Linked DNA regions of Drosophila melanogaster. The protein of the gene in region 1 interacts with the protein of each later gene in a pairwise test. Each region holds a gene or a part of one and is shown on either strand. Other genes may lie near its edges.

What was found. The genes of interacting proteins can lie anywhere in the genome.
Region 2: the proteins of TfIIEbeta (region 1) and Antp interact in a protein complementation assay, tested with the Drosophila melanogaster proteins (one study listed by BioGRID).

The regions. Positions count from the first base shown.
Region 1 is NT_037436.4:4,283,947-4,291,095, reverse strand, and holds TfIIEbeta (transcription factor IIEbeta), read right to left. Parts: upstream 4,059-7,149; 5' UTR 3,947-4,058; coding exon 3,885-3,946; exon of another isoform or gene 3,813-3,884; coding exon 3,708-3,812; intron 3,633-3,707; coding exon 3,470-3,632; intron 3,410-3,469; coding exon 3,119-3,409; intron 3,063-3,118; coding exon 2,805-3,062; 3' UTR 2,747-2,804; downstream 1-2,746. Other genes in the region: Hexo1 (hexosaminidase 1), read right to left, coding at 46-1,135, 1,216-1,850, 1,925-2,001; CG1316 (uncharacterized protein), read right to left, coding at 5,178-5,249, 5,327-5,497, 5,565-5,671, 5,824-5,921, 5,980-6,043, 6,106-6,491, 6,555-6,749, 6,813-7,132.
Region 2 is NT_033777.3:6,993,911-7,002,228, reverse strand, and holds the start of Antp (antennapedia), read left to right. Parts: upstream 1-3,000; 5' UTR 3,001-4,023; intron 4,024-8,318. UniProt on the Drosophila melanogaster protein: Sequence-specific transcription factor which is part of a developmental regulatory system that regulates segmental identity in the mesothorax. Provides cells with specific positional identities on the anterior-posterior axis.

The DNA of each region.
Region 1 (7,149 bases):
GTTAAGAGAAATGGTTTAATAGCTGGTCAAACTTGTGCATCGTACGCGTCAATGGGACACTCGTGCTCGTTTTGCAGGCACCACTGCGGCTGCATGGCCTCTGCGCCCAGACCATTGTCCACCAGTCGCTGGCGGTGGAGCAGCAGACGTGACTCCGCCTGGCGCCAACCTTCGGCAGGATTTGACCAAAGTCGTTCGGCCAGGGCACTGGCCCTGGGCCAGAAGCGGTTGTCCAGTGTGTGCTCGTCGATCTGCTCTGACCAAATGGCTCCCTCCGCGCCCAATACATGATGCTCGTAGTCGCCGGCAATGGATTTCAAACTATTGTCGTACACCTTCTGCCAGCCAATGTAGGGGGAGCACCAGTTGTTTCCATCGGTCACCCAGCCAGCTCCGCCGCAATCCAAGTACAGGGCATCGTAGTTGGACACAATGATCTTGTAGCCCCGCTCCAGAATCTTCTTTACCTTCGGATCTACACCAGTGGTCCAGATCTGAATGATGTAACGCTCTGGGTTCAGATACTCGTCAATGAAGGGCTCCTCAGTGAGTCCACTAGTCCACAGAATGATGGGCGTGTGCGTACCATTGGCCACCTTGTCCACGCGACCAAGAGCCTCCGTCTGGAAGTGTCCCCACAAGCGCATAAAGTCGGCGGTCTCCAGGCCCCAACCCTGTTTCTTCATCCACTGCTGGATGGGCTGGCTGCTGTTCCAGCAGCTGGTTGACACTTCATCGCCGCCCATGTGGAAGATATCCGGGTTGAACTGATCGAACATGGTGCCGTAAATGTCCTCCAGCACATCGTACATTTCGTTCACAGTGGGATCGAGTTGGCCACACGGTGGCTCAACGCAGAACGACTTCCATGGCTGGGCATTGAAGCAGGCGGTCATGTTCTTGTGCTGCCAGCCCTCACCCACATGGGCAGGGGCATCGAACTCTGGCATAACACGGATGCCTCGCACGCGGCCGTACTCCACAACCTCGGCCACGTCCCGACGGGTGTACACCTGCCGTTGGGAATAGGCTCCCAGCTTGTGCAGCTCCGGACGCTTCTTCACCTCCAATGGGAAGCTGTGCGAGTCCGTGATGTGCCAGTGGAAGGTGTTCAGTTTGACCAAGGCCATGCCCTCTAAGGAGGAAAAAAGGATACTCATAGAGTCAACGGAAAACATAACCCTCCCCTGCCTCTTTCCTGAACCATTGCCTTACCCAACGTCCTCTTGATGGACTTCACAGAGTAGTAGTTACGGGAGGTGTCCAGGAGCAATCCACGCCATTTGTACACGGGAGCATCGTTGATGGTGGCATTGGCAGTCACCTGAACCTCGCGGCGGATGTCATCGTAGACAATCAACTGGGCTAGTGTCTCCAGGCCATGACGGGCTCCAAAGAAGTTGGACGCGGTTATGTTGGCCAGCACATGACCCGAGGCATCCGTATCAATGTCCAGCGTATAGCTCTCATCCGTATCCAGGGTGAGTCTGGCCGGTGTCGGCTCATCCGGAGTATTGATGTTCACAGACATACGGTAGCCACCTCGTGCCAGAACCTTGCGATCCGGAATCTGGGCTTCGAGCATGTTCATGAAACGGTCTTCAACCGCTCGCCATAGCTTCTGCTGGCGGGCAATTCCATTGAAATTGAAATCAATGAAGGAGATGTCCACTTGGCGCATCAACGTGTCCAGACGCACAGTGCCCGTCGGTTTGGGCCACAAGGTGCCGATGGAGCTGCCGCAGAAGAGCCGGCACACGGGCAGACTGATGGCCTTGACGTAGTTCTCCTCGCTGAGCTCTACCTTCTGGCAGTAGCCACTGCGGCACTCGTAGCCGTAAACCAAGTCACTGGATGCGGGAATCAAGTCAAAGAGAAAGTCAGTGACCTAATCTATATAGCATACGAGGTTTGATTTACTCACTCCGAGCTGTGGGCCGCCAGTTGAGACACCAGGGCCAGGAGCAGGGCCACTCCAAGTGCAGTCCGCGTCGACTTCATTTCGTCAACCTCAGCACAGAAACTCTCAAAACCAACTGGCGAATGCTTCGGGAATGATAATTAAACAAATTGAGTATTTCAAAACAAGTTTTTGCCGCCGAGTAGAGAGCTCATTGTCCGTGCCAAAGAGTCAAGCCAAGTAAACAAAGAATCGGATTTCATGCAAGTCCACTTATGAATACCCTATCTTTTAAATTGAACAAGTTAGAGGACGAACGATAGTTTGCAATATGACTGATTTACGAGTCGTATGAGCTATATTTTTGTCTATACTGAATATCGGATCTCTTGTTATAATCTTAATAGATTACAAATAGCAACACAATCTTTTTTTAGATTTGTAGAGTCCAATATATAGATAATTTTCCTGATAAGCCCGCACAACCGCCGTACCAAAATATAGGTTATTCCAAATCGATTCCAACTGAACTTGGCTGCTGTTCAGTGCAGACTAAAGCTACGGCTTCCCTCTGTTGCCAATTTAACTGCCCACCAGCATCGATTCTGGCCCTCGTACACGCACACCACCAGCCATCAGGTGTGGAAAGCAATGGGGAATGTCAGGAAAAGATTACATAGTTTTGCTTTTTAATTATCTTTCCCTGTGCCGGTCGTCATATTTTTAAGTTCAATGCCACAGGCAGAACAGCAATCTGGTACTATAAATCTTGAGGAATGAGATTTCGGCCACAGCGGATTCTTAATTAGATTGGCAGTGGTTAAACAAATTTATAACATCCAGTTTCGAGTGTACTTAATTCCATTGAGAGTGGTTTTTATTTGTATAATCTAATGTCTCTATTCTACGTTGGGTTCACACCCTTCAGCGTTAGTGTGTTATCCTCGTAGACCTCCAGAACGTCGGCCAAATGTTCGTTGTCTCTGGGCTTCTTGAACTGCCGCTTCTTGTTGGCCGCCTTCTTGCGCTTGGGAATTGCTTTCTTGAGGCCATGGTCCTGCATGGAGCGAATGCCCTGCTTCTCGAGGTACTCGTCAATCTTGGCGTCGTCCATTGCATCGACCGTAGCCGAGCGCCATAGCTTCTGGAACTCGTCGTCCACCTGAGACGGTACAATTGATTAGGCTGGGATTTTAGAAGAGTGTGTTTATAACCCACCGAAAAATTAGCAGTCCTGTCATTGTAAAATAAAATCTTCTTTTTGTCAATGGGTCTAACAACAAAAAGTATTTCGGCTGATCGGTTCTTCAGCACCTTTTCGCAGTGTGGTAGAGATTCCTGGACATCGTCCAGCAAAATGCCGCCCAGGCCCTTTAAATCATGTTGCTTGAGCAGACGCATCAGCGTTTTGCCATCCTTGATCTTGTAGACTGGCTTGAAACTGAACTTGGTGCCACATGGACTGGCTTCCACCTTGGGATTGTTGTGCAGAGCCTCGCTAGCAAGCCACTAAAATAGAGGAATAATGGTTTAATAACCTGCCACAACTTATCACGCACTGTAGCTAACATTCTTAACGGATTGCCCAATGTCCAGCTGGTTGGTCTCGTCCAGAATCTCATCGATGGTCAGGGGATGGTCGTCGCCGTCCTGGTGACGTGTGCGCATGAATTTCACAATCTTGGCCAGCACTCCAAAGCGGTACTGGGAACTGCCGGACATGGTCTTGTATCTAAGTATGGAATGCAAGAGTTCCACATGGTTAAGAACCATTTCTGGCAGTAGCAGAGGCTCTCAAGGAACTTACGTTGTGGCATCCAGCCTGGGAGCATTGGGCGGGCGCATTTTGCGCCTGGAATCATCGCTAGGCGGCGGTGGAGCTGGTCTATCGGGCTTGGACTTCTTTTCCACGCTATTTTAAAAGGATAGCATGTAATTTTCGAGAAGCAATCTTTATCAGAGGGGCCACAAGTGCGGTACTCACGTGGGCGTGGCCATCGCCCGCTTTTTGAAGGCCTCGCGTTCGCGAAGCAGTGCTGGATCCATTTCGAATGTTTTTTTTTATTATTTAGCTCTACGAAAAAAAACTTTCTGCTGCGAGAAATCAACAATTTACAAAATCTAAACAATGCCTGCTCAGCTGTCCGTGGAACCGGAACTTACCAGGGCTGCGACACTGAAGTTGTACATTTCGGAACTGGTTCATTTAACGACCTTTCAAAAAGTCCATTCGCTTTTAAAAAAAAATTTATTATATATATATGGAAAATCTGCATAGCGAGAATTAATTTGTTTCCCATTTCGCTTCCAAAGAAAAAAAAAACATTATTCCATTTAAGTGTATTTATTGTTGGCCTTATACAGTAGAATATCGTTTATTTAAATCTAATATATGAAAAGAATAATTTTTCACGCTGTGGCTTAGCGTGAATTTACGAGACAGAGTTGATACTCTTAAGAAATTCATTGCGTTTGAATTTATTGCTTGGCTGAATCTCGTCGGAATAAGTTTGTAAGAGTTCAAGTTACACAGAGAGTTCGTTTCTGTATCACGGGTAGATTCAAAAGTCCCCTAAGCGGTATGAGTACACATATATACGACACTATGCATATATTGTGTATATAGCAAGAGCATTGCGGTTTCGTTGGCTCCGTTTAAAGGTCGTATGGGTTATGGGTCTTTCTACGAGTGCTCTGTACGAGACCCACTTGAGTTAGTCAATTGGTAGAGAGTAGTCAACGGGTGTGGTGATTTCGTTGGCCTGTTTGGTTTGTTCACCCGGGTATGGTCTTCGTTCGCAGTTTCCGTTTCCAGTCTGCGTTCTCCAGTCCCCGTGGTTCTGGTTCATGTGGCATTCCGTACGGAGAGTGTTGTTGTGGTGGTGGTTCTTGTTTGGTTATTGGTTGGTTGTTGCGTTGTTTGGTGGTTGGTGGTCAGTTCAACTGTTTTTATCGGACTGTATGCTCAAGTTAGTTACGTTTTCGTACATTGCGTTCTCTGTAAGTTCTTGGTTGTCAGTGGGTCTGTGGAGATAGAAAGATAAAAATGGTTTGGCTTATTATGTTCGCGCTCAGTGGGCGGCATGGGTATCGTGGACATCGATGGCCAACCGGTGCACAGGGCAAGTGCAGCAGGCGCACATTGTCTTAAATCGCTAAAAGGTTTTCGGTTTGGAATTTGCACAGCTACTTACCTCGTACCACGGCACACACTCAGTTCAATTATGGCTACATTAATAGATACGGAATTTATGCATACTCAACTAGCTACTTACACTCAGTTCCGTCTCAATCGCTTGCGACCGCCATCATCGCCGTCGGAGCCACTTCGCTCCTCAGCCTCCATGACCTAAAGTAAGATAAAAATTTAAAATTGATTAGAATTGCTTGCTTGTCAGCAACAGAACATGAGTACACGGTACAAACCTTGATTTTGGTGCCGCAAATTTCGGCTCCGTTTAGGGTACGAATGGCCAATTGAGCACTCTCAACCTCCGCATACTTGACGTAGCCACAGTTCTTGTTGGGCAGAAGGTAGACGTCGATCAGTCCCGACCAGCAAGAGAATATGTTCTTCAATATCGAATGCGGCAAGTTCTGAGTAGATGGGAAAGAAACAACGTTTATAGCTAATGGTAATTGGACACGGTACAGTGATACCTACCGCTGAGAGCACAATGAACAGTCGTTGGGCCACCTGGTCGTCCGGCGATGCCAGTGGCTGAGTTGGGGGCAAGGGAACATTGCAGATGGCATCCTTTTTGGTTCGCTCTAAAATAAAAAACCACATTAAGTCTAGAAATAGGAAATATCATGCATTTTAAGCCAAAAATGTGCTAAGAAATAAACCAAGCAAAAGCGTTTAATAAATGGCTACAGGTGATGGCGCGGCCTGTAGCCCTTGATAGGTTTAACTCGCGTACTGTCTATGAAGGATGTGTCCATGCGAGCTGAGCTCATTCCATTGACTTTGACAATGATGCGTTCGCCCATTGGGTACTCCAGGCCATGAAGTTTGTCCCTAAAGAAGAATAGTGTTTTAAAGCCTGCATGAAAATGAGTTTTAGGGCTTTGTTTACTTGGCATAAATGGCGGCTTCTGGGTTGTCGTACACCACTAAGGCCTCATTGGTGCGCGGTCCATCTACAACGGAGATATAAGTAGTTCAAAAGGGGTTTGAAACCCACACTGGGTTGGTCACTTACGTTCGCGCATGATTTGGCAGTAATCCAAGCCGGGAATTATGTCGAAGAGACGCCAGAGCTGATCCTGGTTGACGCAGTTGCTCACGTTAACCTCCAGACAGGATGGCTGGGCCACTGGCACATTCTGCATGCGCAGGAAGGCCGCCATGTCGTTGTTCTGCGATACATTCCAGTCGTTGTTGTAGCTGTTGCTGCCGCCGCCACCGCTGCTGCTACCGCCTCCATTGAAATTGGAATTGCCACGTCCCGAGCTGCTATACAAGGGATTGTCCTCGGAGGGACGGCCGTACTGGTCACGCTGTGTGCGTGTAGAACCCTTTGGCTCGGCAAAGACAGCTTTATACTTGGCGGAGCAGTTTTCGAAAGCCACAGCTGCATAGTAAAACCTGTGCATTGAGATTAGATTAGTTATGGCTAGGACAATTAGCAATGCTACATTCGCCACGCACTTGGTAAAGCGGACATATCCGAAGCCCTTGGGATTGCCATTGTTCTTCTCCTTGACAATTGTGACAGATTCCACATCGCCCCACTGCGAGAATTCCTCGCGAATATCCTCCTCGGTGGCTGTTTTGGGGATCACTATGAAGAGTCTCACGTACTTCTCCTGCTCGTTCTCAGACTTATTTGAGCCCTGATTGCGACTGGAAGAGGAGGATAAGAGTTAGACCATGGTTTTGGGCCAGTACTCTCGAAGCTAATCTTACTTGGCTGCCACCAGGACTTTAAGGGTGCGATCCATCTTGCCAATGGTCTTGCCGTTCATCTCCTCCTGTGCCTTGGCAGCATCGGATGTCTTGGAGAACTTGACGTACGCGATTCCCTTGTTCTCCTGGGTGTGCTTGTCCTTCACCACCCAGATATCCTCGATTTCGCCGTATGGCGAGAAGGCTTCACGGAAATCCTCCTCGGTGTGCGCCTTGTTGCAAATGATGAAGAGACGCGACATCGGCGGATCGTCGTCGTTCGAGTACTCCTGACCGCCACGTCCCCCGCCACTGCGCGATTGCGATCTATAGTCCGACATGGTTCTGATTTATCTAT
Region 2 (8,318 bases), on another chromosome or scaffold:
CGATGCGTACGGACAGCATCCATGGGACCTTTCTTTCTGTGGGGAGGGCAGGAGCTAAAGCGGGACTGTTGCCCATCCCAATTGGAATGGGTGGTGTCCGGAGTGGGGCGCCAAGTATGCTTTTAAAACCGATTCATCCGTTTTCATGATATTTATTGCCGCTACATAATTGAGTGTAAAATTTTTTGGGGTTCGGCTTAACTTTGATATATCAAAGGTACGTTCACAAAGTAATTTTATTTATGTAAATACGTATAAATATTGAATACATAATTTAAAAGTGTATATAGACAGGTTTTATTGTCAAATATTTTAATGTTTTTGGAGGTTTGTGAGAAAATTAATAAAAATTATTTCTTAAATGTTCATGAATCCGCATACTAAATCTTAACTTTATAGATTTTTTAGTTACCGAAATCACGATGTTCATACGGACAGATATGGACAGTTGAATAGACAGAGGGACATGGTCAGCTCGGCTCAGAAAGTGATCGTCAATTTGTTATGGTCGGAAACGCTTCCCTATACCTGGTTCATACGTTTCAACGAATCTAGTCTACCCTTTTACTCTACGAGTAATGGTAACTATTATACAAAAATACATTATGTTAATTTCACATTATTAAATAATTATGCAATATGAGATTTTCATGAAGCCTTCTTTAACAAGTTTAAGTCTGAATGCTTTTCTGATGTGATTATTATTAAATAGCGTTATGAAAACAGCTTAATTTGCTTTGATAAACTCATATAATTGGAACCCCATTAAAATTCAATTAGGTGATGACTACATTTTAAATTTTTTGTTTCAGTAAAAATATATTTGAATATACCAAAGAACGCCATAAAACACCCATAATGGAGACTCCAAGCAAGTACGACATTTCAAAAATTGCATTAACATCCGGTAGAATTTTTGCCGCTGGCGAACTTGCAGTTCCAACTGGAATTTTCAGCACCACTGTTCCACCAAGAGAATTCTCCGCACTCAGAAAGGCAAAAATTCTCAACTGGAGCTCACTGGCAGCGCCGTCAGCAGAGCAGCCGACGACTGCGTAAATTTATGTGAGAAATGGCAATTGAAAAAAGAGCAGTGCGGCGCGCTCACGACACACATAAAGCAAAATAATGGCACATTCGTCACACTTAACGCGGCCGCATCTGGCCGTCTCGCTCGCACCCGCGTCTGCCCCTCTCGCTCGCACTCTCGCTCTCTGCCTGCGCCGCCATCCATCTTGTGCGTTTGTGTGCCGCGCTTGTGTGTGTGCGGTCTCTGAGAATGCTTTATGAGTGTGCGTCTGTGGCGGACTCCTCCCTGTTTACGACGCTGGCAGCGCCGCAAGCAGAAGCAGCGGCTGCAAAAATTCGGCCAACTTGTGTTGTTGTTCTTTTTCCGCTCCACAACAGCTGTGGGAGAGCGAGAGCGTAGGAGAAAGAGAGAGAGTGAGAGCGATGCTGAATTGTGATTGTGTGCGTGTGAGTGATGGCCTGCATGTGTGCGTGCATGTGATTTGTTGTTGGCGCGCTTCGATATAAACTCGGCCATGATGGTTTTGCCGTCGGCAAGTGGATGTTTGGATGCCATACTCCCCGGTTCCAAGTACCGTATTCCGGGTTCCATAATTCACGGCGGCCATCATTCTCCCGATTATCGAATGTTAGCCGATAATGAGATATCAAAACGTCTAGATATGACTTCATCGGGCAAATCACATTTGCTATACAAAACTGTTAATTATGTATGGTTGTGGTATATTTACAAAAATAATTATTAAAAGATACGTTTATACGTTTATATACCATATCTATAAGCGTTAATTAAGAACATCTAAAAAAGATAAAAAATCGAGACAATCGAAATCAAAAACGTTTTTTACTCTTATAAGTACTTAAGCAGCATAACAATTTACAATTATTTTACATAATAGGCAAACAGAAACTTTCGACCTTTCCATTGCAAAACCCTATTTTAGATTATTTTCACTGGTAAAATAAATAAATAAATGAGTTTGTAAATTAATGATTCAGTCTGAAGTAATCGACGGATTGATACTTTAAAAACTAAAAAGTCAACACAAGGCCTTTAGAGAACCGTATTTGTAAATTGTACAATTATTTTAATTGATTTTATAGAAGGTGGTCTCCCACAAAATGGTAGATTTGACCGCAAAAATTTAAAAACAAGTAAACTGAAGATGTACACATCTTTCACATCGTTACGCTATTTTAAGAAATTAAAAGCAAATGAATTGATTGACCATATAGTCCAGAAGAATGGTTAAAAAGGTATAAAGATATTAAGTTATAAAGATATAGTAATCGCTCTTCGAAATAAAAGTAGAAACTACTCGATAATGCCCAGACAATCGAATTTTAAATAGTTTCGATTTTAGAGAAACTGAAAAGAGCACTTAAGAGAAAGAAACTTAAAATTGAACCTTGCAAAAAATTGTATTTAATAAACCAAAATGAATGAAACAAATTTCTTAAAAACCTAATAAAAAAGTGAAATCAAATATACCAACCAAAATAAATCTGGGAACTGAATAATCGAAAATAACTGGATGTGCATCATAAGATCTTCTTTTGAAGACTGACTACAGTTTGCAGCTCAGCGAGCTCGGGCCGGCAACTCAAGCCGGTCAACTCAAGTCAGGCGCCAATTCGCTGCTCCCACTCGCTCAGCTCTCTCAGTCACTCAAAATGGCAACGAGAGCAGAACGGTTCTTTTGCAAAATACTTTATGACCGGAGCAGAAGCAGAATCGGACCTCTGTCGCGGTCGCAGTCGCTGCCAGTGCTGACGGCGCTGTTGCGGCCGACGCTGACGCACATAAATAAAACGCTCTCTTTCGCTCACGAGTTTCTTATAAGACTTTATTTATATACTGCGCTGCCACCGCTGACTGCGCGCCGCCGCCGCCGACTGCGCTGGATTAATAAGGAGTTCTCGCTGGGATTTTCACATGTATATGCTTTGAATTGAATGCTTTATGGGTTTAGTTTGATAGGAGTCGTAAAGAAATCAACATCACACAACAAAGCACTCGAGGACCCGTCCGTGTTCCGTTGACTTAGCCCACGTGCGACTGTATGTGTGTGTGTGCGAGAGGGATCCCAGCAGCATAACGGTATTCGGTGCCCCGTATTCCGTAGTCGCTATAGCGGCCAATATCTTGGGGCTGGGCTCTCGGAGCTGAACTGAACTGAACTAAACTGAACTGAACTATTCGCATTCGTATTCGCTCGCTCTCCGTCGTCGCGACCGCTCTCTTATCCCAATTGTCAGCCCGCTAAGATCATAAAGGCCGTAAAAATAATCATAACAATAATCGTAAAAAATTAGAACCGCAATCAGTCGCACACTGTCCATCGCATGGCGCAGATCGTCATAAACCCATTATTATAATAATAACCGTAATCGTAACCGTAATCGTAATTGTAATCGCAGGCGCCATCGCATAAACAGCAAACAAAAACACCGTCAGAGAAATTGGAATTGAACTTCGCGCGCGTTTCTTTTTATGATGTTCGAGTGTCTGGCAGGTGTCTGGATTCAAATTAAAATTCATCCACATATTGTGCAATACTACTAATGGATCTGGGCTGACTGTGCTGCAAATGAGCTAGAGTTCAAATTTATCAAGCCAAATCCTACTACCTAAGTGTTTATCTATTCTTAAAAACGCATCGTGCACCGAAAACTCGAATCTGTACAACAACGTTTTCTAGTCCCCCGTAAATCGAGCAATATCTACACACTAGCAACAAACAAAAGCTGAAGCTTTCAACTCAAACCACAACAAATTCAACAGAAATAAAACGTAGACAGCCAAAATAACACAAAAAAAAAATAAATAATAAAAAACAAAATACATAAAACGGAAAAGAATAAGGAGCGGAAAAAGTTTCGATTCCACTGCGGGCAAACTTTTTATTTTGGCGCACGTGCAAGCTACCGTTAGCTGAGAATTCCAAAAGCCAGCAGGATTGAAGGATAAGCGCACGTTATTGGATTTAAGAGGTAAGTGCCAGGGCTCGACTTTTCAATTTCCTCACCTTCTTCACTGAAATCAAAATGGTTATATGTTTCTTTTATTGGCCAATTGGGATTAAAATGTCTTTATTCACAAAAATGGTTAATGCGTTTTGAAAACAATGCTTAAATTGATTATAATTATATTTTACTACAAATTTTATGTTATTTCTGCCTATCCAAACTATTTCAAATATTCAATTTAATAATAATCGTAACTGAAAGTGAAGAAAAAATCTTAACTTTAAATTGTAGTAAAAAATCAATATTGTTAAATAATTGCAAAGGTAATTGTACATGTAATGTAATGTCATCTATGCATACCGTCAAAGAATTATTCGATTGTCACTAAAAATTATATATAATTTTTAAACAAAAATGATTGTGAGGTTCTCTTAACATTATTTTTGAAAAAATGGTTGACATAAGTATATTATGTTACTATTAGCTGTCCATTAAATGTTTGAATAAAATCAATCATTTCAATGAAGCTTACATGGATTAGAATATCAGTCTATGTATATGCCGACGGAAACTTTATACATTTCCAAATACTTGTCTAAATATGTGGAAGTTTTGACATTAATGACTCTGTACAAAGAATAGCGCATCTGTTTCTCGATGTGCAGTGGGCAAGGTATAAGTTTTTTGCCCGAACTCAGATTCAACACTTCATAACTCAAAGGGCGTTTTTCGGAAGCTACAGCCAGGTCATCACTCATTTGGCCTGCAAACTGCAAACTGTTGACAGGCTTATTAGCCATTTGCATAAATTTGCAAAGTGGGAGGAGGGGTGGTGGGATGCTTTCAGGAATCCCGGGAGTTGAAGCTGGAAAACTGAAAACGGAGCTCCGAACTTAACTGGCCACGAGTAATGGGCTCTTTGAACTTGGAATTCGTTTTTGAATTATTGCGCATATCCTGGGCAACATAGTTTCACTTCCGAATGGTGGGAAAGGGCAGCCATTTCTCTCTCAGACACACACGCAAACACATTCATACACACACACACACACACGCACATAGTTGGACGAACAGGACACTCTCGGGTTCTCCGCATAGAAAATTTATGCGGCCATTGTTGCAGTGCATTGTCCTTGTTGTTGCTGATTTTGTTGTTGTCCTAGTTGTCTGGCCTTTGCATATTTGTCGTCCTCTCTGTCTGTCGCTCGCTACCTTTTACCTTTCTCTCTTTCTCCATTCCCGCTCTCTCATTGCACTTGCGCCCCACAGAGGTGCGGAATTTATTCGTAATTTAATAAACATTTAAAAATCTGTTCCATAATTTGGAAAGTATCTCTAGCGATCTGTCCAAAAGGGCTTTAATGAACTTATCCTGGCTTTTACTTTCAGCCTGCTTATCGTTAACACATTTCCATTTGCATTTTTGCCAGCTTCGATTTTTGCAAAATCAAATAGATGGCATCAAATGAAATTATTTTCTCATAATTTATTGATTTTATCAGCTGGAAATGTTACACAGCTGACAAAATCATAAACTCCGTTCTGTTTGCCCGGCAAAAACTTTTATGATTTATGGCCGAGTGACAGACAGAAAAAACACCGATGCAATTGGGAGAAATGGGGGGAAAATATTCAAAATTTGTATGAAAACGCACATTTCCCTAGACTATTTTTGTTTAAGTCCTACAATTCTTTACTAACATATTTAGACCCTTATACATGAGCAACCACTTCCTTTTAAACGGATTCTTAATCAAGTTCACACTCATGGCAAAGCAGCAAAAAGATTTATACATCAGCACACCAATGGCGACAACTCTTTTGTAAAAACATTAATCACGACCTCTGAGATTCGGCCGAAAGCCCAAAACTTAGCAACAAAAGTAAACGAAATTGTTGTTAATAAAACGAATCCAACAAAAAGCTTCAACGAAAACAGCCGACCACCACAAAGAAAACTTGTTTGACTTGCCTTTGAAATTAAAATTATATTTAAGCCCCCATTGATAGATGGCGACATGAGTCGGTTAATTAATCATATGCAAGCTCAGTAAATTTAAATAAAACAAAAACCGCTCAAATAAAAACCTAAATTTCACACAATAAAGTCTCTAGACAAACAAAGGACCAGAAACGGCAAAAACAGCGTTTTTTTTTTCATTTTCAAATCACCAAAAATATTATCGACTTCATCGGGTCCACAACATTTTAAGGCCCTCGGGAACTGAACTTTGATAAGCCGCCGGAAATGATGAACCTTGTGTAATTTGTTTATCGTTTTACCAATGGGACTACAAACTTGGCATTAATTGCTTTCTCTGAAAAGTATTTATCAAGACTGTGCTTACGTTATTACTTAAATTTTACTTTTATTTAACAATCCATTATTGATATAGATTACAAAAGTTTCTTGCGACACATTTACATATACAATTTACACATCCAATTTACTTCCATACTTCCATAAAATACAAATAATAACATTATAAAAAAGAGAAGCAGTCAACTGTTTTAAATTAAATAAATTATTTAAAATATATTTATATTTTCGGAATTTAAATACACTGGCTTCCATTACAACTGTGAAAAAAAGTTATTCTTGAAAAAGAGAAATAGATGTAACTGCTGAAAATCGGACAAAATCGGCGGTCAAAGCCAACTAAAACTCAATCCAATTTTGTTGGGCGGCAATTTGCAGTGACTGCAATTAGTTTTGGCCACGGAAAAAAGGGAACAAATGGGAGAAAGTCTTACTATTTTATTTTTTAGCCCAAATGCAGTCAGCGGCTCGAACTGTTTTATATATACTTGTTTTTATAGGTTCGTGGTAGGAAAACAGGGACGAAAATCGGGGTGAGGTGCAGGGAACCGCGGAGGGTGCAGGGTCGGGGGCCAGAAACCCAGCGGGAAGCGCTCGCAGTGACATTGCGCCGAAGCGGGTGACAATGATTTATGGCCAAGAGATACGCGACAAGGAACGCAAAAACTCAAAACTCGAAAACTAAAAAACACCAATCGCACACCAAAAACGCAAAACGCTCTCCGAAAGCGGCAGGAAGCGGAATGAAAACTCACGAAACTATGGGAAATTCCCGAAAAGCAAACTACCTAAACTCACAACACCGCAACACCAGAAATTCGCAAAAGAATCTTATTTTTTAATGCCAAAAGTGTCCTTGAAAACGCAACAACAACAACTAGGAGTCACATCTCAGAAACCGAGAGTGATAACCTGCTGATTTTTATGACAGTTTTCCTTTTTTTTGTCACTTGTCACGAGGTTGTAAAATCAAGGATTTTCCAGCAGAAATCATACGGCCATTAGGAAGTCGAAGTCACCTGGCTCAGGCTCGAGCCCGGGCTCTGGCTCTGGCTCTGGCTCTGGCTCTGGCTCCGGGTTATGCAATCGTCATTTTGTACGGTCATAAAAATTAATATGCGTCCTTCGCAGTGGCAATTTGGTGCGCATATCTCGGCAAACGCATCTCCATAGTTCGTTTATCTGACTTTGAACTCGAGACGCTAAGCCGCTGGAGTCGCAGTACATGACTTTTGGCTTTATCCACGTCTCGCTGTCTGCAACCATTGTATCTGTGCCTTGAAGGTTACCTGTTTTTACAGTTTAGACCGGGTCGACTCGGCTTGGCTTGGCTCGGCACGGCCTTCTTCTTTTTAGATGCCCAACATCGTTCTGCTCGGCACTCTCTCAAATTATTATTTATGAGCTCGCATTGTTGTCGTCGATCTGGAATCGAACCGTCCAGCGATTTCTATATAGGCTTACCTCGCCTCTCAGCCCCGAATGCAGTTCAAGATTTTTACTTTCAGCTTGAAAACGAAATTCATAATAAATCAAATCATTTTTGTGTGCTCGAGATGCAGTTCCATGTTTGCCTTCTTGTTTGTGTGGATATAAATCAAAGCCGATTCTGCTTAGATTTCGGTGCAATGCGCCAAGGGATTAGGAGGTGCGGAATGGATGGCGGGAACAGGTTTCCACAAGTGGGAACTCATGAATTTTCTTAATTATAAGTAAGTACTACCCTTAACTGAATATTTGTTAATGTTGTTAGCGCTTTAACATGTTCCTATCAGTTTAAAATGTGCAATTAATAAGTTGAAGAACTGAACAACAAAATATAAGAATAATACGTCTACCTACCCTTGGTGACCTCCGCTATTTATCAGGTCACCCACAATATCCCATTTTCGTTTTATGCTTTATTTTCCCTCCAGTTCAATTATGCCCACCGTGAGAATTGTTCCACCACGTGTGCACTTCCACCATAAATCACATTCACTTCCAATATTTTCACAAA